Yarrowia lipolytica: one gene and its partners. The protein of the gene in region 1 purifies or fractionates together with the protein of each later gene. This does not show direct contact. Links are inferred from orthologs where the notes say so. Each region holds a gene or a part of one and is shown in the gene's direction. Other genes may lie near its edges.

Evidence for each region.
Region 2: the proteins of YALI1_E16451g (region 1) and YALI1_E30707g purify together in Saccharomyces cerevisiae (affinity purification with mass spectrometry; 3 studies listed by BioGRID). This does not show direct contact. The link is inferred for Yarrowia lipolytica from reciprocal best matches to the Saccharomyces cerevisiae genes CBF5 and NOP6.
Region 3: the proteins of YALI1_E16451g (region 1) and YALI1_C31971g purify together in Saccharomyces cerevisiae (affinity purification with mass spectrometry; 4 studies listed by BioGRID). This does not show direct contact. The link is inferred for Yarrowia lipolytica from reciprocal best matches to the Saccharomyces cerevisiae genes CBF5 and XRN1.
Region 4: the proteins of YALI1_E16451g (region 1) and YALI1_B30214g purify together in Saccharomyces cerevisiae (affinity purification with mass spectrometry; 3 studies listed by BioGRID). This does not show direct contact. The link is inferred for Yarrowia lipolytica from reciprocal best matches to the Saccharomyces cerevisiae genes CBF5 and NOP7.

The regions. Positions count from the first base shown.
Region 1 is NC_090774.1:1,641,581-1,648,480, forward strand, and holds YALI1_E16451g (uncharacterized protein), read left to right. Parts: upstream 1-3,546; coding exon 3,547-5,004; downstream 5,005-6,900. Other genes in the region: YALI1_E16433g (uncharacterized protein), read right to left, coding at 363-1,727; YALI1_E16493g (uncharacterized protein), read right to left, coding at 6,658-6,900. UniProt on the Saccharomyces cerevisiae protein: Catalytic subunit of H/ACA small nucleolar ribonucleoprotein (H/ACA snoRNP) complex, which catalyzes pseudouridylation of rRNA. This involves the isomerization of uridine such that the ribose is subsequently attached to C5, instead of the normal N1.
Region 2 is NC_090774.1:3,067,347-3,073,515, reverse strand, and holds YALI1_E30707g (uncharacterized protein), read left to right. Parts: upstream 1-2,750; coding exon 2,751-3,662; downstream 3,663-6,169. Other genes in the region: YALI1_E30725g (uncharacterized protein), read right to left, coding at 1-986; YALI1_E30677g (uncharacterized protein), read right to left, coding at 5,413-5,748. UniProt on the Saccharomyces cerevisiae protein: Predicted to be involved in rRNA processing.
Region 3 is NC_090772.1:3,190,868-3,201,129, reverse strand, and holds YALI1_C31971g (uncharacterized protein), read left to right. Parts: upstream 1-3,657; coding exon 3,658-3,740; intron 3,741-4,018; coding exon 4,019-8,516; downstream 8,517-10,262. Other genes in the region: YALI1_C32010g (uncharacterized protein), read right to left, coding at 1-114; YALI1_C31989g (uncharacterized protein), read right to left, coding at 709-2,229; YALI1_C31918g (uncharacterized protein), read left to right, coding at 9,259-10,086. UniProt on the Saccharomyces cerevisiae protein: Multifunctional protein that exhibits several independent functions at different levels of the cellular processes. 5'-3' exonuclease component of the nonsense-mediated mRNA decay (NMD) which is a highly conserved mRNA degradation pathway, an RNA surveillance system whose role is to identify and rid cells of mRNA with premature termination codons and thus prevents accumulation of potentially harmful truncated proteins.
Region 4 is NC_090771.1:3,018,187-3,025,516, reverse strand, and holds YALI1_B30214g (uncharacterized protein), read left to right. Parts: upstream 1-4,056; coding exon 4,057-5,829; downstream 5,830-7,330. Other genes in the region: YALI1_B30234g (uncharacterized protein), read right to left, coding at 1,443-2,138; YALI1_B30218g (uncharacterized protein), read right to left, coding at 2,597-3,667; YALI1_B30182g (uncharacterized protein), read right to left, coding at 6,114-6,827, 7,315-7,330. UniProt on the Saccharomyces cerevisiae protein: Component of the NOP7 complex, which is required for maturation of the 25S and 5.8S ribosomal RNAs and formation of the 60S ribosome.

The DNA.
Region 1 (6,900 bases):
GTGCTTGTTGTTGCGAGTTCGACGCTAGCAAATGGAGTGAATGAGTCTATTGATTCCCAATAATAGGTAAACTGGAGTCTTCAGCTTCTGTATAATCATTGATCATTGAATCGAGAAAGTCTTTGAATTTCAGTGCTCCCTCCCCCACACGGCACACCATTTCACAGAGAAGCTCTTCATCCCTCGACTGTAATGAGACCGAGTGTTCAGGTGTCCCCTTCTGGTTCAATACAACTAGTGTAAAGAGCTTTCTGGTGTCCTCCCTGTCTTCTCCCGAGCAGCCCTAAATCCCCTACGTTCTTCTACAATCAAGTCTTTTTCTTTTTTCACCTGTATAAACAGGGGTGGTGGTCCATTGAGGTCTAAACAACACAGTGGAAATGCTTTCGGCCCTTAGCGATGCCGTCCTTGACAATCTTGGCCACCTCCTCGGGGTCCTTGGTCATCTTGGTGAAGTTCTCGTAGCCGTCCTTGGTGACGAGAATGTCGTCCTCGATTCGCACTCCGCCAACCTTCCAGTACTTGTCCAGCACGGCTCGGTCCAGAAACTTCTCCTGCTCGGGCTGGATGAAGTGGTCTAGTAGGTACTTGTTGAAGTAGCAGCCGGGCTCGACGGTCAGCACCATGTTCTCCTCCAGGGTTCGTCGAAGACGCAGGTATCGGTACATGGGGTCCTTGTCCTCGTAGTTGGGTCGGCCGGCGGTGTCGTGGGTGTCCATACCAAGCATGTGGCCGAGTCCGTGGGGGAAGAAGCCGCAGGAGACTCGGGAGTCAAAGATCTCGTCCTCCGTTCCGTTGGTGAAGATACCGAGTCGCATCAGATGTCGAATGAGAATTCTGTGGGCGTCTCGGTGCAGATCCTCGTAGTTTACGCCGGGTTTGATCTTCTCAATGCAGTGATTCTGGATGTCCAGCACAGCCTCGTAGATGTCTCGGCACTCCTTGGTCCACTCTCCGGAGATGGGGAAGCAACGAGTCACGTCAGAGGCGTAGTTCTTCCACTCGGCACCAGCGTCAATCAGCACCAGCAGCTTGTCGTCGAGGGGCAGGTCGTTCTTGACGTAGTGCAGGGTGCCAGCAGAAGTACCAGCACAACAGATGGGATCGTAGGACTGGTTCTTGGAGCCCTGTCGGATGGAGTGGTAGATAAACTCGGCATGGATATGGCCCTCGTTCTTCTCAATGGGAAGAGCAGACATGACGGCTAGATGCGAGTTGTCGGTGATCTCGGAGGCGTGTCGCATGAGAGCGAGCTCGTGTGAGTCCTTAATGGCTCGAGCCTCGTCCAGCGCGTCCAGCAAAGGCTGAGACATGGTCACGGCGTCTCGCTTGTCGTAGGTCTCGACACTGATGAGCTTCTTGCCCTTGAGGTCGCTCTCCAGGTGGTTCATGTACTTGATTTCGTCCACGTCAGACACGGCTCGGATCTGTTCGGGAGACAGCGGCAGGCCGGACCACATGACCTCCTCGTCGTCAATCTCGGGAATGTAAAGAGTGATCTTGTCGTCCTTGGCGGAGTAGGTGACAATGGCGTCGGGGGCCTCGTAGCCCGTCAGATAGTAAAAGTACCGGTGCTGTCTGAGAGGCACGGTCTGGTCCGAATGGGGCCACAGGGTGGTTTTGGCAGCTTCAATGTACCACAGAGCGTCGTCGGAAGCTCCGGAAGCTTTGAGGTGTTGCGCGGCCTTGAGGGCGTGGGCCTTGGCGGGGTATTGGTCGACGGTCATGATTGTGTGAAGAGAGGAGATGTGGAGAAAGAGAGGTGTTAGCCGATACTTGTATCCGGATCAAACTCTAAGATTTAGTTGCACGAACGGCACTGGAGATGCAGTTGAGCGGTGGACCAAATGCAGGTAGAAAGGGTAGGAGTAGGCGATCGGAGTCCGACCGTATGAATAATCTGTACGAGGAGTAGGATACGCACACTACCGAGTCCTTTTGCTTAGTAATATACCATGTCTTGTCTTGCCGCGAGCCCACTGTATATAATAATGGCCTACTTGTACGAGCACTGTATTTTCTTGGGTGAAATTTCACTTCTGTCATCCTGACTTGGACCGGATACAAGAAGACATGTTCCGAGAGAGACATCATGTGTATGTATGATGGCATGTACGTGGAGAAAGACAACTGTGGAGTACAGCAATTAGTCATTCAGCTGCTGTACGTACAGTCTTGTAGGTTGTGGTATGGTGTGACTACTAGTTCCGATCCCGTTCCTGTTGTATCGAGACACTTCTATTAGGGAGATGTATGCCTCTCACTTTGATGATCTTGTATTGTATCAGACCCCATTGAGAAATCACCTGTAACATGGCCAAAGGCGAAGTGCTAGTCCTTGGGGATATCTCCAGGTCTCCGTTGTATCCCCTTTTTTTTCCTCCGTGTAGATCTGTCTGCTATATTATAGTCACTGGACTCCATGTCCAGTCAGACTCTGAATGTCCTCTCGTACACTACATACTGTACATACTCCTTCGTCAGTCCATGAAGCATTGTTACGAAGAAGAAAATGAAAAAAATGGCACTTTCAATATATCAAATTGATGGGCTCGCATAGGAGCTTCGATTTAGCTGCTTTCGGCATCTTTTTCACTATTTTTTGTCTCGTTTATCTTTGGTGATCACTGCCTGTTCCCCGGGATGGACTAGTAGACACCTAAACCGGCCATTTTTGACAAAGGTGTGATATAAATCTCGTATGCTAGTTGTTGTTGGTCACGTATACTTCCTATCTATGTCTTCTTCGCCCCCCATTGTCATACAAAAATGGTCTCTTCTGGACCCCTTCCATTCACCTCTCAGCTCCCATACCGCTTCTACTGTAAGTACGAATCCTCACAAACTTGTCCAGTTGCCAAATGCCACAACACTCTCCTCAGTCGCTTAATAATCGAGATACGAGCATATAACTCGAACTGGTGATATAATACGTGACCTTACTCACCCTTCGTCGATAAATACCTCGTAAGAGCACCTGAACTGACTCCCCCTTCACCCACCATTCACCATCTTGACGCATCCTAGAACCTTAAGTTCAGAGCAGTCTTGAAGTGATGGGCAACCCAGCCATGAGCCCTTTCAGTGAGTGTCAGCAAAGTGTGGCCGGGGTTTGAACATCCGGGCCATGGAGATGCTGCCATGACCACGTACCTATATATACCTGTATTTGTACTGTTTATGTTGTCACACTCCATACGACACTCCAATTGCCTATATGCCTACAATCTAGCTCACGCAACGCAGTCACTGATTTGTGGCGATATAAGTACAATAAACGTAGATCGAGCATCAAAATACCGGCCAAAACACCTCCAAACCCACGTCACACACCCACAAACCACCTTGTCAAGTGAATGACCAGAATATATCTCCCCGGTACCCTAACCGCCACCCTAACCCCATACCCTAATGCAGAAGGACTCGTCCCAATCCTGGCCGCTCCCCTAATCCAAACCCAAAGTACAAAAATTCTGCGCAGTGAAAAAAAAATTGAAACTCACATTGAGAGCTTCTCCTACATATCGACCTAGCAACACTATCGACATGTCTGCTGTTGTTCAGGAACAAACCGACTATCTCATCAAGCCCGAGAATGTTGGCCCCTCGGCCGACACCTCTGAGTGGCCCCTTTTGCTCAAGAACTACGACAAGCTGCTTGTGCGGTCCGGTCACTACACCCCCATCCCCACCGGATGTTCTCCTCTGAAGCGAGACCTCAAGTCGTACATTGCTTCCGGTGTCATCAACCTCGACAAGCCCTCCAACCCCTCTTCCCATGAGGTTGTTGCCTGGATCAAGCGAATCCTGCGATGCGAGAAGACCGGTCACTCTGGTACTCTGGATCCCAAGGTTACTGGATGTCTGATTGTGTGCATCGACCGAGCCACCCGTCTGGTCAAGTCCCAGCAGGGAGCCGGAAAGGAGTACGTGTGTATCGTGCGACTCCACGATGCTCTTGAGGACGAGAAGGAGATGGCCCGTGGCCTCGAGAACCTCACTGGAGCCCTGTTCCAGCGACCTCCTCTCATTTCCGCCGTCAAGCGACAGCTGCGAGTCCGAACCATCTACGACTCCAAGCTGCTTGAGTTTGACAACGACCGACACCTCGGTGTCTTCTGGGCCTCCTGTGAGGCCGGTACCTACATGCGAACCCTGTGTGTGCATCTGGGTATGCTGCTCGGTGTTGGAGGCCACATGCAGGAGCTGCGACGAGTGCGATCCGGTGCTCTCGACGAGTCCGACGGAATGGTCACCTTGCACGACATTCTCGATGCCCAGTGGCTCTACGACAACACCAAGGACGAGTCGTACCTGCGACGATGCATCCGACCCCTTGAGTCTCTGCTGCTCGGCTACAAGCGAATTGTAGTCAAGGACTCCGCCGTCAACTCCATCTGTTACGGCGCCAAGCTCATGCTTCCCGGTGTTCTCCGATACGAGGAGGGCATTGAGCTGGAGGACGAGATTGTGCTCATCACCACCAAGGGTGAGGCCATTGCTCTTGGTATTGCCCAGATGACCACCGTCGACCTTGCTTCCTGCGACCACGGTGTCGTGTCTCGAATCAAGCGATGCATCATGGAGCGAGACACCTACCCCCGACGATGGGGATTGGGACCCGTTGCTACCGAGAAGAAGAAGCTCAAGGCCGACGGTAAGCTCGACAAGTACGGTCGACCCAACGAGAGCACTCCTGCCGATTGGAAGAAGAGCTACGTGGACCACACTGAGGACGAGCCCGTCACCAAGCCCGTTGTCGCTTCTGTGACCGAGACCATTGCTGTCGAGGCCCCCAAGAAGGAGGTCGAGGCTGATGTCTCCATGGCCGCCGACTCTGACGATGAGGAGGAGGACAAGAAGGAGAAGAAGAAGGAAAAGAAGGACAAGAAGGACAAGAAGGAAAAGAAGGAAAAGAAGGAGAAGAAGGAGAAGAAGCGAAAGGCCGAGGACTCCGACGACGAGGGCGAGAAGAAGAAGAAGAAGAAGAAGAGCAAGGATTAGTGTCTGCATGTAAATTATGTTATTATTTGGTTCCGACAAAAAGGTGCAAAGTGGCTTGGACTGAAGAGTGGAAGGGTAGATTGTCAGTGTGAATACTAAAGAAGAGTGGCAGTAGAAGATGGCTAAGATTTGTATGGATTCTGGTTCTGTATTGAAGCTAGGCTCATCACGCGGTATGAGGCCTACAGAGACAAGAGGTGGTATGTGGACGAAAAAATCATGTTGAGAAAGTTGACTGCGAGTATGCGTACAGTTGATGATGTGACACCCCTTGAATACCGTCTGATTGAATACCCAACTGTTAACAGAAGGCGGTTTCACGGAGAGCATGGCAGTGTAAACAACAGAGAAGTTATGGCCAACCAACCTGGGCCAAGAAGCTGGTCAAAGGCTTCTTCGTTCCATCCAACTTACGTACTCAGATTGACCATCTATCGGGCTACCCGGATATCGACCCCGAGTGGCTCCAAGCTCTGGATGAGCGTGGCATTTCCCTTGACCGTCAGCCTGAAGAACTTCAGCCATGTGAAAAACTTCAAGCGCTGTGGCGACATGGCTTCCGACCAGCGTTGTCGCTCGAGGAGCACACCCGATGGATTCGCAACACCTGCGTCGCCTCCCTGATCAAATGAGACAACGTTGGTAAGTACGGAGGCTACTTGGTCAACTGGCTCGGCTGTAACAGTAATTGTCACCCAAGCTCCCTCTCCGGAGGCATGTTCACAGCCCACTTGGACGAGCTCAGAGCACAGGCTTCTAGTATCGGTACAGGTGCGTACCAGCAATAACTACTGTATCTTCGTGATGTTAAGATGTCTCTACGACCTGAAGATGCGTCCACGACCACCACCTGAAGATGAACCTCTATTTCCCACTCTAACCAACCCATCTTCTTGACCTCAGTTCTGTAGGAGATGTAAAGTCGATGAAAAAAGTTCTCATAACTACACTACTCGTACTCGTACCGTAAAGCACAATGTACAAACATCCCTAGTACACCAATGCAAACAGCCACTCGTCGTCAAATCACACATCAGCTTGCAAGAAGTTGTGTCACAATGCTCTTCTGTTGAATTCGACAGATTCGCTGAACTCGACAGATTCGCTGAACTCGACAGATTCGTTCAACTCGACAGATTCTAGAATGTTCCAGAACCCACATCCAGAACCCACATGCCTCGTACAAGACGATAATCCCTCTGAACACTTGACGGGCCGTCGACGTGATTGTACATGTACATGAAAAATGCCCTCCAAACGTCACCGCTTATCTGCCCACGTCGATTGCACATTTAGTTTGCTAATTATGCTAAAAAGCCTTCAAAATGTCGTCGACAGCACAATACCAACTTCTTCAGCAGAGCCGTCAGAAGCCCCAAATGAAGGCGCTCAGAAGTCCCATCAGCTCAATTGGACGTTAAAAGACATTCTACATGTTTTCCTACCCTCCAAACCTCCCCCTGATCCCTATAAACACCTCCATGTCCTCTTTACACCCGCCAAACCTCACCAACTAAATCATCCTTAGAGTTGCACTAAGGCTGCAGTAATGAGTTGTTCATGCACACGTACAATTGTCTCCATGATCATGCTATCATTTATTAATTCTTACATGTGAATGCTCTTGCACTCTATGTACAATAAGTTAGTCTATTAAAAGTTGTCCTCAATGGCCTTTCGCTGGGCGTCGGTCAACGAGCTGGGGAAGTCCACCTTGATGGTGATGATCAACTGACCACGCTCACCAGGCTTCTTGGAAATGGGCATACCATAGTTGGGGTAGGTGATAATGTGGCCGGGGTTGATGGGCAGACGCTGCTCAATCTTGAGCTTCTTGCCCTCCAGGGTCTCAATGATCTTGGTGAATCCACACAGAGCCTCCTTGAGAGACAGCTT
Region 2 (6,169 bases), about 1.4 Mb from region 1:
TCCTTCCAGCAGTCTCGTCCCCATTCACAGCCGGCCATGTTGACAAGGAAGTCTCGTGACTTCTCGTCGTAGAACAGCTGCTTGTCATTCTCCATCTCGGAACAAGCTCCGGGAGGCAGACCGTTGATTTTTCTGAGGGGCAGAAAGCCGACCCGTCCTCGGATCCAGGGCTGGTTCGTGAACAGGTACTCCAGCGCGTCCTGCTCCTTGTGCTCCCACTCCATGTGCCTCTGTTCATAGAAGACAGGGTCCCACCACAGATCGAGCAGCTTGTCGGTCCAGTCGGACCGTCGAATGAAGAAGGAACCCAGATTGAAGCCTCCGCAGTCCTGGGTGACAATCAGGTCGACGGGCTGGTTGTAGTCCACGTAGGGGATCTGCACGGGTAAGTTCAAAGGGTTGAATTGGCCAGTTAGGTCTCGGTAGGTCTCATTGTAGAGGTTGTTGAAAATGTGCTGATCCAGCGAGATCTGGGGCTCCATGATGAGCGTATGCAGATCGAGCCACCAGAACCACTCGGCGTTGGGGAACTGGCGCATGGTCTCCTTGATGATGTCGACCTTCTGCCACGACTCTCTCCACTCGTGAGAGTATCTCTTCTTGAGACTCACGTCCTTGACGGCAAGATGGTAGCCGTGGCGCTCGGCGTATTCTCGCTTGTTTTCAATGCTGCTTCGCTCGATGGCCCACTCTTTGGCTCCCTTCCAGTGCATGACTCCTCCACCCTCGTTGGCAGCCAGGATAATCACGTACTTGCCCGAGCCCCAGTTGAAGTGCGGCACAAATGGCACGGCTGTGAAGAAGGACAGCAGGGTCAGCAGCAAAAAAATGACGACAAAGATTTTGCGCCGTATCAGGGCCGTAGCCAAACCCTCGATGAAGCCTCCCACCGTGGCGATGATCCCTCCTCGTTGCCGTCGCGACCACCCGCCCTCGGGCTTGTCCCACGCCGACACGGACGATTTGCGCCTCCAGTTCTGGCTCATTGTGTGTGTGTTTTTGTGTTTGTCGTGGTGAAGTGTATGTGTTGATGTTGTCTTTTTGGTGATGAGAGTTAATGTACAGTAGCTTGGTAGACATGCGTGTGGTGGACGTGCGTACTTTATTTCAGTTGGACCAGCATCGCTGTATTTGTAGCTAATGGACTTGGTGAACCTGGGACATGTCTTGGAAGAGCATACATACTACGTGGACGACGTAAGTCATTTCCGTGAGAATAATTACCGCTCTCTCTTGCTCCTCAATCTGGTACAGTATTACGTGTATATCTGGCGCCTTACATGTTCAACGTCACAGAATTTTTCGTCCCAAAAACCGTGTGCATACTACATACGTCATGGTGACGCTGAGATAATGAGATGATAGCGATGTAAGGACAGGTACGAGGAGCAGGACCATAGAAGATGAAGACTAGAACCGTACCAGTAGTATTGAGTGATCGCTGCACAATACCAACCCACATCTCCACCTCGTCCATCACTACAACCTATTGTTATTCACGACGATAAATATGCTCATGTGGACCAGTTACTTCTTTTCATCTTTAAGCTCCACTGACGGCTTCAAAGTGGGTACACGGCTGGTGGGCATGCTTAACGAGTACTTGTAGCTACAGTAGAGAAGAGGTTGTAGACAAGGCAATGGTACGATGCACGTGAGCTTTCACATCGAACCAGGCTTGACTGTAACCACCTCACAACTGCTTAGTCACATCCACTCACACGTGCCACCCCTACTTTTCTTTGTGCGCTTGTGCATCCTCTTGTCCATCTTCAGGGGCAACCTTTTTCACTACGAGTACATACTGTAGTTACAAGCACTGCTCCGAGGCAAGGATCGTCCTGAGTATGTGCGAGCTGATGACTGGGTGAGGTTATGAGTGGAGAGATGTTGATTATATAATAAAGAATGATGATCTGGGTACAGTGTACTGTGCAATTTGGTAAGATAGGAGTATGTACAATTGTACAATACTGTAGTTACAGATACACTGTGGTGGTGACGTAAGATACAACATTCGCCTGCACAATGGAACATATAGAAAGACTCTTATACTACGATACAAGGGGCTCCATGGTGAACGACCAAACACAATGTCTATTACTTATGCACAGAATAGCGTCTGGAATGGAACGTTGAAAGTGGGTTGGTTAACGAGAGTACACTGTGTTACTGTACTTGTTGTACTAAGAGCCACACACTGTGAGACAGATGGAGATGGCCAATTTTGTGATTAAAAAGCAAGATATAGAAAAAGAAGGGATATATTGGGCTAAACAAGCGGAGTGGTGGCGTGATATAGCTTCTGTGGCAAAAAGTCATGCAGTAGAGTGAGTGACTAGTTTACTGTAGGCTACAGTACTTTCAACCCAGGAAGCTACTTAGCCACATTGAGTACATTGCACAAGTACATTACGTAATTGTAATTACGTAATTTACAGTAGAGGGCACAGGAAGTGTAACAGGTTCGGGCACACAACAAATCGCGCGCATCTCTTGATAAGGACATTTGCGGGGTACTGTAATAACAAAACACTTCAAACAGAAGGATATAAAAACCACATGATAATTTTTTGAACACCCACAGACATAGTTTTCGCCCGTTTACTGAGAACATGTTTCTCCCTCTACTTCTTGTACTCCATCTCATCTCATGCACCCAAAGCTTATTGGGAAAAATTATGTGGTGTGCATTATCAGGCTGAAATTATTCCATTACCAGCTGTACACATCCTACAACGACTTTTACAATGGGATCCAAAGACAAGAGCAGCAAGAAGCAGGCCAAGGTGGTTGACGAGGTGACTGACGAGGTGACTGACGAGGTGAAGGCCGAAGAAACGGTCGATATCAAGACAAAAACTGACGAGACCAAGTCTGAGAAGAAGGATAAGAAGGACAAGAAGGCCGATGAGAGCAAGACTGAAGAGAACAAGACTGAAGGTAAAGCGGCTGACAAGACTGAGTCTGAAATTGACATATCGAAATTATCCAAGAAGGAGCGAAAGGCTTTGGAGTTCAAGAAGACCAAAAAGAAGATCGAGAAGGGAGAGTTAACGGTGGAGGCTCTTAAGGAGGAGAAGAAGGAGAAAAAGGAGGCCAAGAAGGCCGAGGAGGAGGAGAAGAAGGGTTCCAAGAAGCGAAAGCGGGATGGCGAGAACGGCCCTGCTGCCAAGGCGGCTCGATTTATTCTTTTCTGTGGTAACTTGCCTTATGATATCAAGGAGGAGGTGATTGCTGATCATTTTAAGACCTGCACTCCTAACAAGATTCGAATTCGAGATGCCAAGGGGTTTGCATTCCTCGAGTTTGAGGGCGACGACGCCTCCAGACGGATGAACGTTGCTCTCCGAATGCATCACTCTACTCTTATGAGACGAAAGATCAACGTGGAGTTGACTGCAGGAGGAGGAGGCAACTCATCCAACCGACGAAACAAGATCCAAGAGAAGCGACAGAAGCTGGACGACGAGCGGTCGGAGCGAATTGCTAACGAGGAGAAGGCCAAGGCTGAAGCCCAGGCCAAGGCTCGAAAGGACGAGAAGAAACAGAATCTGGCTTCGGCCCACAAGAAGGCCCACAAGGAGTTTGCTCCCCAGACCAAGAAGCCCAAGACCAGCACTCCCGGTGTCCATCCTTCTCGACAGGGTCTGATTCGGTAGAATAGAGGAATAGGCATATAGATAATGGACATAATGGAATGGTGGGAATAGGTAGTGATTAGTACAAGTACCGGTAGTTCTACGTACTGCTGCTGGGTACTACTAATAAGTCTCAAGTAAAATCGGTAATTATCGTACAGTATCGTACCAGTACTTGTATATACTGGTACGATACTCGTACCGTAGCAAAGCGATAGCCTGTTTCCATACGAATGCCTAAAAGTACGGTACTCGTACTCGTACTTGCCCGACACCGTATTGAAGTCTTACAGTAAGCTTCATCGACTACTCAGGTGTGCTCATACTTGTAGAAGAGGGTTCAAAACATACACAAAGAATGACTGAATTGAAAGCAGTTTGGCGGGATAAAGCACAAGTTACCAAATGAAGATAAAAAAAATAGATATCAGACCCATAATCACCTTGTTCGGCGGTTAATTCAAAGGCTTTGACTTGTGGCTAGAGTTTGAGACTGTGGAACTGTACGTTAACTGGAACGACCTACAAGTACCAGTAATGCGTGGAAGGGTTAAGGGAGAATGAGTAAGGGTAACAGCACTCGCCCTTGTAGCAACTACGATGCTGCTCGTGATACCGAAGGACTTGTACGAGTAACGGCAGATACTATGGACAAAATGAATACCTACGGACATGACGTTATAGACAGCTATTCATGACACCCGTCAACATCAACATATCATTCATTCCTCATGAAAGTCCGAGAAAACATCCCGTCTACATTCTCCTCTGGTCCATGAAACAGTGACAATCTCTTGGGTGATGTTTAAACCGCCTGGTGACTTCGGCTACACGTCTCGAAACGGCTGCGGGCAGTGCTCCAAGGTTGACTGGGGTGCGTGGAACTACGATAGACTCTCGGATATACACTGCTAGTATACTCACGCAGTTTATTTAGAGCGTACTGGTATTGGGCTGGATGAGTTTACAGGACAATCTTGGTCTGCTGGTGAAATGTAGGAGCGACATATATGGAACTAAGTCTATGAAAGTGATAGCACTTACCACACTGTATGTTTCGTGTAACCTGGTCTGAGGGACTTTTGTAGGTTCAATCATAGAGGAACGTACATAGGCTGACAAAAAAGTTGAACAAGTGAATATTTTTGACGCTGTAATCGTTTCGTATTATACTGTGGGGATACGCCTCACTTGTTCCACACAGTTGTTTACATCCCTTGCATTCATGTACCACGCGTAGTTATTCACGCGACAAACTCAGACCCAGACAGTTGCACTAACTCACGCACCCCAACTCAGAGCCAGAAAAAGTTGGTGGGCCATGTGAGACAGATGGGCCTGTTGCGTGCGATTAACAGGGACGTCTCTTTTCAAGTAAAGTAGCACACGAGAGTTGAGTTTGTCGACATCAGGAAGGTGCTTATATGATACTTTTACGACAATATACTTATACTGCACCACAGTGTACAGTATCGACAGGTCAGCTGGACAGGTCTGTAAAGAAATGTTTTTGGTTGACACTAGTCAGGGGTCAGATCCAGACACGCGATTCATTCAGCCGCATCCTCAAGAATGTATCAGTGCATATACCGTATGTACTGGAGACAATATGAAGAAAAAGATCATTAAATAAGAGGAAGAGTTGGAAGTTCAACCAAGCGGGAGAAGAGGAGGAGAAAGAAACGGTTAGGGGAAAAGCCATTTACTTGATGGGTTAGCGGTTGCTCTACTCTACTTGTTAATACAGACGTCTATTCTCTAATAAATAATGCTACACAGTGTGGTAGACTTTGTTGATGGCAGTGCCCAGAATCTGGGTGAAGTTAGGAGGGTTGGGGGTAGACCAGGTCTCGTGACCTGACCAGTAGTAGTATGCTCGGTTGGCCAGCAGCATGGAGTTCTGGGGCAAGTAGAGCAGAGCCACCATGAGCAGAGCAGCTACCAGCACAATGACAACGTTACAGAAGCCAGCCTCCAGAGGAGTGATCATGCCCACAGTGAAGTGGACCTTGTAGGTGTAGTACCACTGGCCGATGAACGACGACGAGTAGGGCACGACATCTTCCTCGTCCAGGAGATGCTTGACGTTGTTGTTTGAGTAGTACATTGTGTGTGTGTGTGTGAGTGAGCTGGGGATGACTGAGTCGGTATAGAGGGGGTTGTGCAATGGAGTAGACCTTGAAGGAGGATGCTGTTAATGCAGGAATGGAGATGCAATGAATATGTTTCCGGTTTTTTTTTTTGGACTGGTCGACTGCTGATGGTCGGGGCAGAACAAGACAATATATAATACGGTCGGTCAAAGGGTCGGCTTCCGGGTTTTAGGCGTTGGTCGCGTCTTTCTGTGTGCTCGCGTTTTTTGATTTAATCTTGTGGCAGCAGGAGTAACTTTGGCGCGTGCAGAGTATGAGTAGATATGAAAGGCGTTTGGTGGCGGTGACTGCGGAAGGCGGATTTCAATGACTTCAGTGGGTATATAACAGCTGACGGCGGTTGAGTGATGGCTATAGTTGGGCGATTTTTTCGGT
Region 3 (10,262 bases), on another chromosome or scaffold:
CAGGTTGTAGTGTCGGCCGGCCAGAAACCGCGTGGACTGCTCATGCAATTGCTTCAGCTGCTCCGTGTTGAGATTCAGATACTCTGCTCGTTCAGCAGATTGCACTAGACTCATGGCTGTGTGTATGTCGTTGTAGTTGTGATCGCTGTATGTTCATCATGGTCAACGTACTGTACGTACGTAAACCCATGCACTCGAAACTTTATTATAGTGACGTGACTAAGCTGCAGAAAGAGAATTAGTTGGGAGTTAGTTAGGGAAAAGTTGACTGAGGGCGCAAATAGTGTCCCAGATACGGTAGAAATATGAAACGTACGCCAAAAAATTTATGAAAGTGATCTGGTTGTTATTACTTATCTAACAAGTTACCGGAGTTCTCAGATATAAAGAAATATAATGCTATTCTTGCTTACTTTGAGTTTGTCACTTTACTTAACGTTAGTTAGAACAGTTGAGCAATATGTTACATGCGGCAGCTACAGCTTTACAGTATGTACAGGGGTGTTCTCGAATCAATACTTCCATAAAGTCGCTTGACCATACCAAAAGCCTCTCGCCTTAAGGGGTGATACTTTGCTTGTCTTCATCTGCTTGTAGCCTTATTATTGTCTACAACGTTTATACTTGTAGTAAATACTCGTTACACCAAATCAACTACAATTACAAGTATTCCTTCAATATACATATCATGTAGCTACACCTCCAAAGTTACTTCCGCTGCTCAAGCCGCTCGACAACATGATGCAACTCGGCCACCCGGTTTCCAAGACCCATGAACAGCTTGTATAGCTCCTCCAGCGAAATGGTAAAGTTGTCAATGACCACAGAAGGGTTCTGAGGTCCGCTTTGTTCCAGTCCCACAACACCAGCCTCCACCTCGGCCGTCACCTTTGCCAGCTCCTCAATTCGCTTCTCGTACTCCTCACACTTTGTCTTAAAGTAGTTGAGCAGAGGATCGCCGTTCTCTCTGGGAGCTCCAGCGGGTCGGTTGGAGTTGAGACGGCCAGGAGTCTGACTGGTCAGGTAGCTGAGCAGGTTGAAACACGTCTGCGCCTCTTGTGCGGCAATGTCTGATCGAGTCTTGATCTCGTTCATGTTTTCGGAGTCGTGCACCAGAGCCTCGTAAGCAGTGATGTACTTTCTGGAGATGAGCTCAGCATCTCGGGGGATCGACTCGATCATCTCCTGATGCTGCAGCTTGTTCGTGGACAGCTCATCGCATATTCGGGCCTGCTGCTGAATGTATTCGTCGATCTGTTCAAACTCCTTCTGCATATGTTCCGGTAGATCCGACGGTCTGGTCAGAGGAGTGACGGTCAATTGCTGCTGTTGTTGCTGTTGTTGCTGCTGCTGTTGCTGTTGCTGACCAAATCCAAGTCCTCCAGTATTTGTGTTTGTGTTTGTGTTCTGTCCAAATCCTCCTCCAAAGCCGGTACCGGTAGTAGCAGGCTTAGCACCGAAAAGACCACCTCCTGAAGTAGTAGTGGTGGCGGGTTTTGCACCAAACAGTCCGCCGCCCGTGTTAGTAGAAGCGGCGTTGTTGTTCTGGCCGAAAAGTCCACCGGTGGTGCCTGTGGTTCCGGTGTTGGCAGTATTGGATGTGTTCTGTCCAAACAGCCCCCCACCTGAGGGGGCAGCAGGCTTAGCTCCAAAGAGACCGCCTCCGGTTGTGCTTGTGTTCGAAGTGGTGTTGTTGTTGTTCTGGCCGAAAGAGAAACCTCCAGATGTGCCTGTAGTACCAGTAGTACCGGCAGTGTTTGTGTTCTGACCAAACAGCCCTCCTCCAGTGGTGGCAGCAGGCTTGGCTCCAAAAAGTCCTCCTCCGGTGTTTCCGGTGTTAGAGGCTCCAGCATTGTTGTTTTGGCCAAACGAAAAGCCTCCTCCAGTGTTACCGCCCGTGTTGCTGGTCTGATTGGTGTTGTTCTGGCCAAACCCGAATCCTCCGCCAGTGTTGGTGTTAGTGGAGTTGGAATTGTTATTCTGGCCGAACGAAAACCCGCCACCAGTGTTACCGGTCGTGCCGGTATTGGCGGCGCCAAAGCCTCCGGGCTTCTGTCCGAATCCAGTGCTGCCGAACATGATGTATCTGTGTGGTGATGGCGTCTCTAAAAGTTTGGTTTGTTTTGCTGCATGCTGTTGATAATTTTGCTTATTAAGCCAACAAGGCTGAGGATGTAAGCGGATGGATGGTGTAAACACTACAACAGAGCAGCAGGTAACGGAGGCCATAGATTACTTAGATGAGTACTGCTTTAAAAAAAATCAATACTGCCTCCTTTCTATCATCAATTACATATTTCGATTAAACGCCTTATCTTGAAATTCATGAAGTCGTGGAGTCGAACTCAGGGTCAGTCTTGTCAATCTCTCTGAAATTTCAAATTTGAAGCTTGGTTGGGAGGGAGCACCAGGAAAGACTACAGTACAGTGTTCATCCTACAGTATTTTTTTTCCCGTATCCTTCTTCGTTATTCTGGCGGTAATCGACGTGTGAAATACCCGGCGTTTAGGTTGCTCTAGAACATTCCATTGTGATTCACTGTTTTGATGGAAAATGGGGAGCTATTCTGTCACCAGCTTCACTCCCAATTGCCGTGAGTTCTCTCTGGTTGCTGCATTTTCTGTATGATTGTCCGTATGTGAGTCGAACCAAGATCGATAAACTTTCGCGTGATAATACGGCGGAAAGCATGACATCTATCCAACTCTCGTAATAATAGCCCTATAAGCGTGATTTTTCCATAATTTTGTTTGCTGAAACTAACTAAATACACTGATACTCTACTTTTTTCTATGAACCATCTCAGTCCCATACTTTGTGGAAATACAGTAGGTACTACAGTGAACATTCGGCACAGTACGGAAACTCTTTCCCTCCACTGTCAGACCTGCATCTTCCAGGAAACCTCATCGAAATTCAAAAAAGGGGCAACGCGATCGAAAAAAGACAAAATAGTGGCAAATGTCGTCTGAAATAGATGTGTGCTTTCGTTCTGTGGGTGGTACAGGGCGTGTCACCTTCTCCTAGCCATTTCTACTTACAGTACTGTACGTACTCTGACTTCTCAGTCAAGTTAGTTAATGCAGTGTCTACATTACATTTTGTCAAATTCCACAGCTAAACTCCACAGCTAATCCTCGTAACGTTCTGACTAACAATAACTGCATCGTACAATGTATCTACAATACATACATACGAGATGAACCCTTTCATGCAACCTTGTGTACGGCTATTTTTCGCCCGAAATAACTCAGTTCCAGGTTAGGCAAGTCCCTGTAAAGATTCATATCCTCCGTATGGGTAGGGCACGTTTCTGAAGCAGCCTACAAACCATATAGATACAGTATGTTGCAGTTGTGCTGTAGGACACGTGACAGGCATCCATCACTGCCGGGTAAGGTAGTATCGAGCCATCCACGGCGTTCCATATGGTTCCAATAAGCCGGGAGTCGTTCATCTGATGCACTTCATCTCATCCGGCTATCGGAATAAGTCATACCTGCGCTTCCAAAGGCTTCCTTTCTCTCTGTCTACCGCCACCAATAGTCGCCACTATGCGCATTCTATCGTCGTTTGGTTTCCCTTAAAGTTAAGTGTCTTGTCCCTACATCCCACCACATCACAAGATTTGATTTTCAACAGCAGATACACCATCAATGGGTATTCCTAAATTTTTCCGCTACATCAGTGAGCGATGGCCGCTGATTTCCCAACAAGTGATTGATACACAGATTCCTGAGTGAGTATGAGAGCAGTGAGGGTGTTTTTGGAGATGGCAACACGACCGTTTGGTGATTGTGGGGTGTCTGATCGGTCAGCATACTGATGACCAAAACCACGACACTAGACGACCTGAAGGAACGTATAACAAGAGCCTTGTGACTGGAGGATCGTTTGAAAGCCCTTGTCGAATGTTCTATGTTGTTTCGATACATGATTCAGGCCAGATCAAACCCACAATAACACACAAAACTGTTACCACCACAGCCACATCACAACATTTCCGTGCTAACCCAGATATGACAATCTGTACCTCGATATGAACTCGATTCTGCACGTGTGCACACACAAGGACGCAGATGTGACGTTCCAGCTGACGGAAGAACAAATGTTCCGCGCCATCTTCGAGTACATTGAGCATCTATTTTCCAAAATTCGGCCCAAGAAACTCTTCTTTATGGCCATTGACGGAGTCGCACCGAGAGCCAAGATGAACCAGCAGCGATCGCGACGATTCCGAACTGCCCTCGACGCCGAAAAGGCCAAGGCCAAGGCTCTGGAGGAGGGCACCATCCTGAAGGAGGACCAATTCGACTCCAACGCTATTACTCCCGGAACCGAGTTCATGGAGAAACTGACCACCCAACTCAACTACTTTGTGCACAAAAAGGTCAGTGAGGACGCTGACTGGCAGAACATTGACATTGTTCTTTCTGGTCACGAGGTTCCAGGAGAAGGAGAGCACAAGATCAACGAGTGCATCCGAATCAACAAGGCCCAGCCTGACTACGACCCCAACACCCGTCATTGTGTGTACGGTCTGGATGCCGATCTCATCATGCTGGGTCTGGGTTCCCACGACCCCCACTTCTCTCTTCTGCGAGAAGAGGTTGTCTTCGGTCCCCGACGAGCCGGTCCCAAGGCTCTGGAGGAGCAGAACTTTTATCTTCTGCACATTTCTCTGTTGCGAGAGTACCTTGAGCTGGAATTCCAGGACCTTGCTGACGAGATTTCGTTTCCCTATGACTTTGAGAGAATTCTGGATGACTACATCCTGCTCTTCTTCTTCGTCGGAAACGATTTCTTGCCCAACTTGCCTCAGATTCACATCAATGAGGACTCCCATGCTCTTTTTGTAGAGTTGTACAAAAAGGTAATGAAGATTTCCGACGGCTACATCAATGACCGAGGAAACATCAACTTGCAGCGCCTGGATCTCTTCCTGGCTGAGATGGAAAAGTTTGAAATTGGTATTTTCGAGGAGCAGGCCATTGATCTGGCCTGGATCAACAAGGATCTTCCGGAGTTGACTCAAAAATACAAGTCCAAGCGTGGCGAGAAGCTCTATCTCTCACCCCAACAGAAGGAGCTGGTTGTGCAGAAACTGCGCCCCTTTGTTGATGCCCATCTTAAAAACAAGTCCAAGTCGGACTACGATCCTGATAATTTGCCCGAGATCGTATTTGATACTCTCTCCGAAGAGTGTGAATCTCTCGTCAAAGAGATCTCTCTGGACCTCGATTGCCGATTTCTCAAGAACTCTTCCACATCTTGTATGCTAATCGTCGATTACGATGGCCTCCGAGACGAGGAGAGTCCTGAAGAAGCCACCCAGCGCTTCATTGGCTACTCCCAGACCCTCAAGCGGTACGAGGCTGCTCCTGTCAAGACCGCCGAGGCGCTGGCCCAGCGAGAGGAGATTTACAATCAGAAGTTTGAGGAGTGGAAGGACGACTACTATAAAAAGAAGTTTGGTTGGTCGACTACCACCGACGAGGGCAAAGCCGAGCTCAAGGCTCTGACCGAAAACTACGTCGAGGGTCTGCAGTGGATTCTGCACTACTACTACGACGGCGTACCCTCGTGGTCTTGGTACTATGGCTACCACTATGCTCCTCGAGTTTCTGATGTGCGTAAGGGTCTGCAGGCCAATCTCAAGTTCAAGGCTGGCCAGCCCTTCAAGCCCTTCCAGCAGCTCATGGGTGTGCTGCCTGAGAGATCCAAGAAGCTCCTTCCTCAAGCTTACTGGCCCCTGATGGCCGACTCCAACTCGCCCATCTATGACTTCTACCCTAACGACTTTGAGCTGGACAAGAACGGAAAGAAGGCCGATTGGGAGGCAGTGGTCAAGATCCCATTTGTGGACGAGTCGCGTCTTCTGACAGCTATGGCTACGAAGGAGACTGGTCTTACTGCTGGAGAGAACAAGCGAAACGCATTTGGCAACAACTTGTTATTCAAATACTCGCCCCAGCAGGATTATGTCTACCCGTCTTCTATGCCCGGTGTCTTCCAGAACTTGGAGCACTGTCATTGTGTGGTTGAGAAATTTGACTTGCCTTCCATGGACGGTTTGGACGTGGTCATCGGCAAGAAGGATGGCTCCAAGTGGGGCAAGGACATGTTGTCCGGATTCCCCTCTCTCAAGACCCTTCCTTACACCTACGACATTGAGGCTGCTGGTGTTCGAATCTTCCAGCAGGATTCGCGAAACAACACTCTGGTGCTCAACATCATCAACTCCTACAAGAACCGATCTCCCGAATCCATTGCTCGAGAGTTGATGGACCAGTCCATCTACGTCAACTATCCTTACCTGCGAGAGGCCAAGGTGATTGCTGTTTCAGACGAGCTGTTCTCTTACACCTTTGAGAACGGCAAGGTCAACAAATCTCCCCATTCCGACACCATGGCCAAGGAGTGGGCCACCGGATCCCGAAAGATCAAGAACGACTACATCAAGAAGCAGGGTATCAAGAGCGGTAACATCTTTGTCGTTCTTCATGTCCGTTTCCTGGCTGGTATGAAGAAGGGAGACGATGGATCTCTTGTCAAGGACTTTACTGGAGCCACTGGTTCTTTCCCTGTTCAGACTATTGTTGAGAAGGTGGTCAACGAGGATGAGCGGTACAAGGAGCGAGCTGCTCAGCCTATCGCTGCCGAGTTCCCTCTCGAGTCGCGTGTCATTCTCATGTCCGACTTCTGCTATGGTGCTGAGGCCCAGGTTGTCAACCACATTGGCAACACCAAGATGGATCTCCAGGTCAAGAAGTCTGCACCCAACTCTCCCGCTGTTGTGCTTGCGGATGTGGGTAAAAAGATTGCTCGAACAGAGTACGCTACCACCAAGTACTACCCCTCGTATCAGGCCGCCAAGATGGCCGGTATCCAGTCGTCTCTCCTCGGTCGAATCTGCTCCAAGTGTCTGATTCAGAAGGGAGACTCTAAGATTGACGTAGGTCTCAACCTGCGAAATGAGGGCAAGCGAGAAAAGGTGCTTGGCTACACCCGGCGAACTCAGCAGGGCTGGGAGTACACCCAGGATGCCATTGCTCTGGTCAAGAGCTACTACAACACCTTCCCCAAGCTGGTCGAGGGTATTGGTTCCAACCGAGACAAGGGCGTGCCTGACATTTCTGCTCTGGTCAAAGGCGAACCTGCTGAGGTCAACAAGATGCTTGAATCTGCTCGGCGATGGCTCAAGGAGAACGCCTCCCGACTGACTTCTGTGGATATTGACACTCAGTCTCTATCGGTCAAGTCCATCTCTGTTCTTGAGAACTATCTCGTCAAGAACGCTGCTGACCCTGATGCTGTGCGGTTTATCCCCTCCGTTGTGAAGGGTACTCCTCGTCAGGCTGTTCTTCGACCTGATGAGGCCTTCCACCAGCTTCGTGGCCAGCGATTCGATCTGGGGGACCGGGTTGTGTATGTCCAGGACTCTGGAAAGGCTGCCATCTTTTCTCAGGGTACCGTGATCGGTATCAAGGCCGTTGGCGTGGATGTTCGGCTGGATGTGCTGTTTGATGACGAGTTTGTCGGTGGCAACAACTTCCAGGGCCGAGCTTCCACCAACCGAGGTCTCAACGTCGCTGCCAACACCGTCATCAACCTGACCAACCGGCAGATGATGTACCGACCCAAGGGCGGCAACCGAGGTGGCAAGGCTAATGGCCAGCAGACCAACGGCAAGACCAACAACGCCCGGGGCCGAAACAACGGCCGACAGGGTTCTCCTGCCGCTTCTGCAGTGCCCAAGCCCAAGCAGCCCTCTCCTGGTGTCAAGATTCTTCAGCGACCCAGAGACGCTGCTCCTGTTGCTGAGACCTCTACTTTAGGTGAGGTCCCCACTGCTGTGGCTGCTGCTACCGCTGCTGTATCAGAGTCTGCTACTGTCCCTCCTGCTCCCGCTCCCAAGACCGAGGAGGAGCTGAAGAAACAGAGCGAGGCTCTTTTGGACTCTCTCAAGTCCAAGACTTCTGCTGACGCCAAGAAGCAGGTCCTGGGCAACGTGCTGAACCAGTACTCCAACCCTCAGCCCCAGGGACCTTCTCAGCACCAGCAGCAGGGCCCTCCTATGCACTACGGAGGCCCCCAGGGTGGATTTGTACCCCCTCCCCCTCCCGGATTCCCTACCCAGGGATTTCCCCCCCAGGGCTACCTCCCTCAAGGACACTTCCCTCCCGGATATTACCCTCCCCAGCCTTTCTACCCTGGTCAGGGTTATCCTCAGGGACCTGGCCCTCAGAACCAGCAGCACCAGCAGGGCGCTCCTCAGGGAACTCCTCAGGGCAATGAAGACCTCTCTGCACAGTTGATGGCTGCCCTGCAGGTTTCTGATAACTCTCAGCAGCCTGCCACCGGACTTGCCAATGAAGGAGGCCGAGGACGAGGAGGACGGGGTCGAGGACGTGGAGGACGTGGACGTGGAGGACGTGGTCGAGGTGGACAAGGTCAGGGCGGACAGCAGGATGCCAACAACCCTCGGATTCCCCAGGTGACTCCCCGGCCTTAGTAGAACGGACTGACGTGTCTAAACTTGGCATGAATGGTTGTATAATAATGGAAATTGGATATATTGATTGATAATTTTGTTGCGTAGATGTACCAGTGATACAGTATTTGAGTTTTGTTGTGAATGTGGCCCTCCAGTAATTACGAGTACATACTGGTACTACTTGCACTTGTATTGTATGTGGCAAGTGATGATAATTTTTTGATATCGTGTACCTAGTCGCGGCGGTACTGTTTGTTGTTTTGTTTTTGTTTTTTTTTGTTATTGTTTTTCATATTTTTTGAGCATTTCTTTCTATTCTCGCAGCTCAATTACAGCAGCTTTTAGTACAGTATATGGTTCATTATCGCGTACTGCACCACCCTGGAGCAAACCAACATGTGTAGCAGGTATTATTTGTCTTACAAGTGATACACTTTTGCCTATCATTGTAATCTCATGATTCGTCTGAAGACTGTATTGATTTTATTGTCACTTACATAGTAATCTAGATCATAATGGCACCTCCGAACTCAACGCTGTTATGTCCATACTAAAGATTTCTCATTACTAAGTACACAGGATGTACAGTAATTAGTGAAAACTGAAACCTTTATGGACCAACTCGGAGAAGTTGTATCGTGTGTGGCATGTACGCAACTAACCACATTCTCATCTCTTCAAGACACAATCTAACAAAAAAATACAAGGCCCTGTCAATTGTGGATTTGGAATCACGTGACTCGCCAGCAAACAAGAAGCGATGTTCGGAACTCCGGCGGTTTGTTCACTGTCATCAGCCGCTCTGCACCCCAGACTCCCAAACTTAACATTTCAGGTCGGACGGATCAGTCATTCCGACTTGTTCATCACCAACCACACTAACAGCATGGCTACCCGATTTGCCCAGCAGGCCCGAAAAATCCTGTGCATTGGCCGAAACTACGTCGAGCACATCAAGGAGCTCAATAACACGGCTCCCTCCAAGCCCTTCTTCTTCCTCAAGCCCTCGTCTTCCATCCTGCTCCCCAACGAGGGTCCCATGCTCGTGCCCTCGGGAACTGTTGTGCACTACGAGGTAGAGCTGGCTGCAATTCTCGGCAAGGAGCTCAAGAACCTCAACCCCAAGACTTTCACTGAGCAGGACGCCATTGACGCCATTGATGGCTACGCTCTGGCTGTTGACATGACTGCTCGAAACGTGCAGGACGAGGCGAAGAAGAAGGGTCTGCCCTGGTCAATTGGCAAGGGGTTCGATACCTTCCTGCCCATCTCCAACTTCATTCCCAAGAGCCAGATCCCCGATCCTCACAACGTGCATCTTCACCTTGAAATCAACGGACAAACTAAACAGTCCGATAACACCAACCTGATGATCTTCAAGCTGCCCCAGATTCTGTCCACCATGAGCAGCATCATGACTCTTCAGCCCGGTGATATTATTCTCACTGGAACCCCCAAGGGAGTGGGTCCTGTTAACCCTGGAGATCGAATGACCGCCGGTATCTCTGTTGATGGAAAGGAGCTCGAGGCCAAGGTCGATGTTCAGGTTGAGCAGAAGCCTGGTCCTTACGTTTATTCTCAGATCTAATCTATATAGATATCAATGACACTTGCCAAGATAATACGTGATACTGTACGTGACTTTGCTACAATAATATAGTATAGCCTTCTGTCTTGGTGACAAGCAACAGTTAGCCATTATATATACTGTACCAAGCTGTAACACAAGCTTCGTCTCACCCAATTCATTATCATTACGTCGTA
Region 4 (7,330 bases), on another chromosome or scaffold:
TTCCATTGTTGTGGACTCTGTCTGGGCTCCTTGAAACCACGCAGTTTTTGTCCTAGGTCTCACTCGTCATTGTCGTCGATGTTGTATGTGTGATGGCTGTCCAGAGGGAAGTTCGAAATGAAAAAGCAGGTACTTGTCAGGGCTCTACCATGGTCACATGCTCATCACGAGACTGACCCATGTCTTCTCCCACCCCGCGCCGTTCAGGAATACTCACTTTTGTGTGAATGTGTGTTCTGTGAAGCTCGTTACCAAGTGAAGAAGGATTGATATCCTCGTCGACTTTAGCGTCGTCGCTAACCAGCATAAAGTTCGATGTACGTTTTTGGTAGGGTAAAACCGTGGGAAGTTTGGAGATTACGCCAGATAGCGTGGAATATGAAACAGGTTGATTCTAGAAAAAAGGGGGATATATACGAGTTACCATAACCTTTTGGCTGATTCTTGCTCCCCAGCACGCTGTATCTGGTCTTCCGACGTTTTTTCACCAGATTACGCCTCCCGATCTGAACCTAACCATATAGAGTTTCTACCCTAGCCAAACCGCACTAATTCTGAAGGTCATAATACGCTAAGAGTAGGATGAAAAATGAGGAAAAATTGCAATGGACTGCAGAAACGACATTATCGGGTGGATTAGGCTTGCAAGTGAACCGTTTTCTTCCAACCGTCGGTGATCCAGGGTGCGAACAGCTTCCCCCAGTCTTTTTACACTGACCTATCTCCACGAACCCAAAATACGATTCACAATAATCTTCACAATGCGGAAAGTATACGGCCGTATATGCTGGGTCTGACGGGAATATTCGTAACCGGCAAATACTGAGACACGAGGACTCCAGAATGATGCTACTTGAGCTCTGTGTATACTGGTAATGGTCTTTGCACACGTCCAGGGCACACATGTGGTCCTGCATGTATGAAACTTCCCACATGGATTCTGCACGTGGGCTAAGTTCACATTTCATTGGTCGGAGGGCCGGGTAGGAATAGGTTGAACTGTACCAGGTATTCATACAGTGCAATAGAACACAATAAAAACTTCGTCGACATGTCCCATTGAATATGTGAAGAATCTATGGTCCCAGTGGCTCCCCAGGAGGGTTGTAAATGTAAGTACTAGGACATAGATGCCGCACTCCGCCCTTGATACCCAATGAGTGGGAAGCGAAACCCACTGCATCAATCTGTACGTCGCATAAACCGTCTTGATGATCGCAGTCCGTGATGAAATCACAGGCACGACAGTCCCACCCAGTTGTCGTCGAAAGGCATTCCGTAGTAGAACACAGCGAGCTGGAGATGTGAGAAAAGCTTTAAAATCGGCCACAGGCAGAAGTGGCTGTATTGGTAGCTACGACTCGTAGTCAGATTCAGGAAAGTAAGTGCGCTGGTGGCGGATGACAGCTGACAGCTGACGGGAGTAGACAGCAAGCACACATCTAATGTATTATGTTATTATAAAATAAAAATAAATGCTTGTATGTACTTGTACTGGAATGTACCGGCGACACGTTGTGGGCTTGTAATGACAGGCGATTGATGTAATTAGGATACTTGCTGTACTGTGTAGTATGTACATACTGTACTCGTACCTGTACCAGTACTTGTCGTGTCTTACAACAGCATTTGCATGTCGAGATGGCCAACAGCTCGATGTAGGGGCTCAACGCAATCGTCGTGCTCTCAATCACACGCCTCTCCTGCACTTTATAGTAGGGGGGCGGGGGCCACTCACTCCGATATCCTTCCACGTCTCCATCTTTAGCGCTTACTAAGCCATCTCTAACCTGTGGGCTGCATGATCTGAAGCCAAAAAAGAGCAATCCCACCACCACAAACACGAAAATGCTTAGAATCGCCCGAGTGTCACACAATGCTGTCAAGATGGCCTCTTCGCGGGGAATCCACTTCTCATCCGATGGATTCATCAAAATGAAGGACCAAAAGCACATCCTCAAGGTTATGAACAGCCCGGAAAACCAATGGTCCACAGATGAACTTCTGTCGCATTCAGACCACTCTTCTGACGAAATCACCTCAGAGACCCTCCAGAAGGTCTCAAAAAAGCTGGCACCCATCTTCAAGAGTGCTGCACTGCCAATGCCTGATTCCGATGAGACCATGTTTTCTCTCATCAAGACTCTCCGAACTCAGGTAAACCTGGTCTCTCATATTCACGACATTGATGTCAGCGGAGTGGCTCCATTGACCTGCCTTACTCCCATCAAGGACTTTACATACGAGCAGCTCACAGCTGAGGACTCTGGAGAGCCTGGTCCCGAGGTTCTATGGGATGCTCTGAGTTGTGCCGAGAAGAAGGACGGCCGATTCTTCGTTGTCAGCCGTGATATTAAGCAGGAGGAGCCCACCCAATGAAATTAACAGTACCGGTACATACAATGGATATACAAGTAGATTAATGCATACAAAACACGCACACACACACACACACACACACACGCACGCGCTTTTCTCATCTAAGACTACATTGTACATACATTCCAGTATGTACTGTAGGTACAGTATGTACTACGATAGTGGAAGGAACAGAGACCTGCTTATCTATATCATGGATCTATAATTTACATAATGTTTAAAAGTTGAAACCGGGGTATCCTCGTCGCTTCATTCGTTCTCGCATCTCGGATCGGAACTGGTTAACTCTCCAGCCAAAGTACAGACCAGACAGGGATCCACCCAAGTGTCCAGCATAATCGTACCGACCCCATCTTCCAACAATACCTCCAACGTTCATGGCGATGGAACCGAGGAAGAACCACCATGCGCCAAAAGGCAGAGGAACGAAGAAGAAACCAATAGTGGCGTCAGGAAAGACGGAACAGAAAACACCAACAACGGAGAAGATGGCTCCCGAGGCACCCAGAGACATAATTGCTCGGCCGAGCAGAGAAGGCACGAGCAGGGAGGTGAAAGAAGAGACAACAACAGAGGTCATGTACATGTGGCAGAACCAGGCAGATCCCATGGTCATAGCAACAGGGATACCAAACTGATAGAGCACAAACATGTTAACGAAGAAATGCCAGAACTCCTGGTGGGAGAAGGCTGATCCAATAAGCTGAGCAGGTCGGAAACCGGGCCCGGTCTTGAGAAGCATGTTCTCGAACATGAATCGGATGATCCAGGGGTTACCGGACTTCCACAGCAAGAAGAAGGCAGCATTGACACCGATGATGGCAGAGATCATCCAGTCAGGCCGCTGCGCAAACACGCCAATGGGTGTATACTTGAACAACAGAGGAAAGGCAAAGTAAGAGACAACAATGGTACCGATAGAGAAGGCCAGAGCTTTGGCCAGAATGTATTTGGTGGGATCACCTCCGGGGTAAATCCATCGGGCACCATCGCCGTAAGCGAAGTTGGTGAAGGGTCGAGCCGTGAAGAGGCCCTTTGTGTTGTATGCAAACGTCTTTGTATCGTTCCTCAGGGCATTGAACTTGCCTCGGGTCTCCTTCAGCATGTCAGCAATGCCACCCCGCTTGCCAAGTCGTTGCATCTGCCGGAACATGGTGTTGATCTGGCCAGGGGTAGGACCGACCACATTCTTGACAATGGGGTTGGAGGTGGAGCCCAGAGTCTGAGTACTCTTCCAGAAACCAGGAGCCAGTCTCCCCAGAACGATGTTGCCTCTGAAGAAGTTCATGGGTATGGTTGCGATAGAAGAGGTGTGGAGGTGGATGTTGCTGCAGACGATGCCTATCAAGTCTACTTGAGAAAAGATACTGCCTTATTAGTGGCGATGAGGGCAGCAAAACCTAATCCACAGATAAGTGATGTACACTTCTTACTGTATAAGTATGTGGCCTTATATAATGAGGAGTATGGCATGGTGAGACATGGTAATATTCATTCTTGCATCCGAAATTACCAAATATATTATATTCACCTGGCACCATTCAACTCCCTGATTACTAAGCAATCCATGCATTGGGCGAAAAAAATGTCCCAGCAGAAATTTATAGAGTTTATGCATTGTAAAAATCCTATCCCAAAAAAATATTCAGAAGTCTGTTACTCTTCACACACACAACAATGGGCCAGATCAAGAAAAAGCATACCGCTGGAGCCGCTCGAAACTTCATCACTCGAACTCAGGCTATCCGAAAGCTACAGGTCTCGCTTGCCGACTTCCGACGGCTCTGTATCTTCAAGGGTATCTACCCTCGAGAGCCCCGAAGCAAGAAGAAGGCCAACAAGGGATCCACAGCTCCCGTCACCTTCTACTACGCCAAGGACATTCAGTACCTTTTGCATGAGCCCGTTCTCGACAAGTTCCGAGAGCACAAGACCTTTGCCAAGAAGCTGACCCGAGCTCTTGGTCGAGGCGATCTTCATGATGCCAAGCGAATCGACGAGAACCGACCTCGATACCATTTGGACCATATCATCAAGGAGCGATACCCCACTTTCATGGACGCTCTGAGAGATATTGACGATGCTCTGTCCATGCTGTTCCTTTTCGCCGCTTTGCCTGCTTCCGACGACGTTTCTGCTCGACTTGTTTCCGAAGCCGAGGCCATTTGCACCCAGTGGATGGCCTTTGTTGCCCGAGAACGACTTGTGCGAAAAGTGTTTGTTTCCATCAAGGGAGTCTACTACTCTGCCAACATTCGAGGAGTCGAGGTCATGTGGCTCGTGCCCTTCCGATTCCCCCAGAACATTCCTGCCGATATTGACTTCCGAGTCATGCTGACATTCCTCGAGTTCTACACCACCCTACTGCATTTCGTTCTCTACAAGCTTTACAATGAGAACGGTCTTGTTTTCCCTCCCATCATCAACTCCACCAAGCTCAGTGGTGTTGGAGGTATCAATGCGTACGTGCTGGAGTCTCGACAGAACGCCGGTGTTGTCCCCCAGATTGAGGGTAACTCCGAGGCAAAGGTCGAGAACGTGTCTGCTGCCGTTCTGTCCAAGGCTGCTAAGGCTGATGCCGGCGAGGAGGAGGAGGTTGAGGAAGAGGAGGAAGTCGAGGACGACGGACTGGACTCCTTCTCCGCCGAGAAGGGTGACGCCCTTGCCCAGCCCACATTCAACTCTACCGCCGGTCAGCTCTTCTCTAACTTCACTATCTTCATTGGTCGAGAGGTTCCCCTTGATATCATTGAGTTCCTGATCATCGCATTTGGAGGAAAGGTCATTTCTGAGTCTGCCATGGACGAACTCATCGACAATGAGGACGAGACCCGAGGTAACGTCATTGATGAGAAGACTCTTAAGCAGAAGTTCAATCTCGCCAGCGTCACTCACCAGATCACAGATCGACCCACTCTTCGAGAGAAAGTCCCTGGTCGAACGTACGTTCAGCCCCAGTGGGTCTTCGACTCCATTAATGAAGGAAAGCTTCTTCCCGTTTCTGAGTACGCCCCTGGAGAGCGTCTCCCTGCCCATCTTTCCCCCTGGGGAGATGCTGGTACTTACGATCCTACCGCTGATGTTTCTGATGCTTCTGATGATGATGAGGATGATGAGGACATTGAGGTTGCTCCTGAAGACTACGACAAGGACGATGAGGAGGAAGAGGCCGAGGCCGAGGCTAAGCAGCACCAGCGAGAGCTTGAGGCTGAGGCTAAGGGCACCAAGGCTGACCCCGCTGCTGCTCCCAAGAAGGCTAAGCGAAAGGCTGATAAGATGACCAAGGCTGAAAAACAGGAAGAGGAGGACAAGAAGCTCAGAATGATCATGATGTCCAACAAGCAGAAGAAGCTGTACAAGAAGATGCAGTACTCCAACGACAAGAAGAGCGACCGAGAGGCCGAGCTCAAGAAGCGACGAAAGCTCAACGAGAAGAAGGAGAAGAGATAAATTGGCACTGGGCCACGGCTTGGAAATAAAATAAAACCATAACTAATTGATTGATAGAATATGATAGTGTGTGGGGTTGTACTTGTACAGTAGTTGTACTGTACCGGTACAATACTAGCACAGGTGTATGTAGGTGTTCATGTTGCTATTTTTGAATATAAATAATAAATGGTTATAGTCTAATTTATTAAGTGTTGTAAGTCTATGTTGGTGAGGAAATGCAAGGCACAGAGTACAGATTACAGTACTCGTAAAAGTACTTGTACTTGTGTAAGTGCATCTGATTATCGAATTCGAGTGTCGAAAGCGTTTCTATCGGGAATCTCGAGATTCATGAGTCCATGCAATTCTGTCTTGACCTTCTCCAGCTCCTTGACGGCCTTGTTGAGAGCCTCAATGTCCGTCAAATGCCCTACATCAATGTACACCTTGACCAGCCACTGTTTCGAAGGGTCCAGCAGCTTGATGTTCTTTGTGGTCTGGTCCAGAATATGAATACGAGTCAGCTGAATCACTGCATTGCCGTACACAAACTGAAAGCCCTTCTGCCAATACTCATATTGGAACTTGTAGGCGAGCGACTGTAAAAATTGAAAAGAGTCACCCTTCTTAACGCTCCATGATGAAATGCTCTGTGATGTGGTCTTTTGTTTTCCTGCCTCGGGCATCTCCATGATCTGAAAGTGCCATTGTCGATTTGCCAGATTATGGATATCCTCCTTGGAATCCTTGCTCTGCACGTAACTGATGATCTTCTCTTTATCTTCGTTCTTGTTATCGTTGGTGACGTGGATTCTGTACTGATCCAGTTGCCCTCCTTGTCCTGGCAGGATTTTAGGGGTGTATTTCTGTGCTGGAGCCCACACCATGGTGTGTTGTAGGATAGTTATGGGGTCCATTCCTGTCAGCGAAGCGAGCGCATGGAGGCATATCTTGAGTTGTGAGTTGCTGATTTTGGCGTAAAGCGATATTTGCTGCATTGTATGAAGATGTGATGGCTAGCTGCTGTTGTCTTGATGAGTTGGATTGGGGTGGTGTTGCACTTTAGGTTGGTGATGTTGGAGTGAAATTGTTTAAAATGGAGGAAAATTATGGAAATTCAAGGAAAGGTTCCGAATAATAATTAGAGCACTAAAACCAAACAAATTAAGCCAGTTATGTTAATAATTACTCTTTATCGATCAAAAAACAAAACATATTAAAAACAACTAGACTCCTACTTGTGGTATTGTACCTGTACTCATGGAAACCGGATTACGTCATCATTAGTCCCCCCTCCCGCCAACGTGATCGAGTGAGTAATGCAAGTCGTTGATACCCTGCAACTCAATTAGTCCCCTTGTTTTAGTATTGTATTAAAGCTGTTGGCGATTTCACCCTGAATGATCCGAGACGGTGCGGATTGTTTGCCGCGCTCTTGATGTACTTGTACAGCCCCCTCGCTAACTTCATATCGGTCATGTCGTTTCCGTCGTATGCACATGCAACTCTAACTGACTTT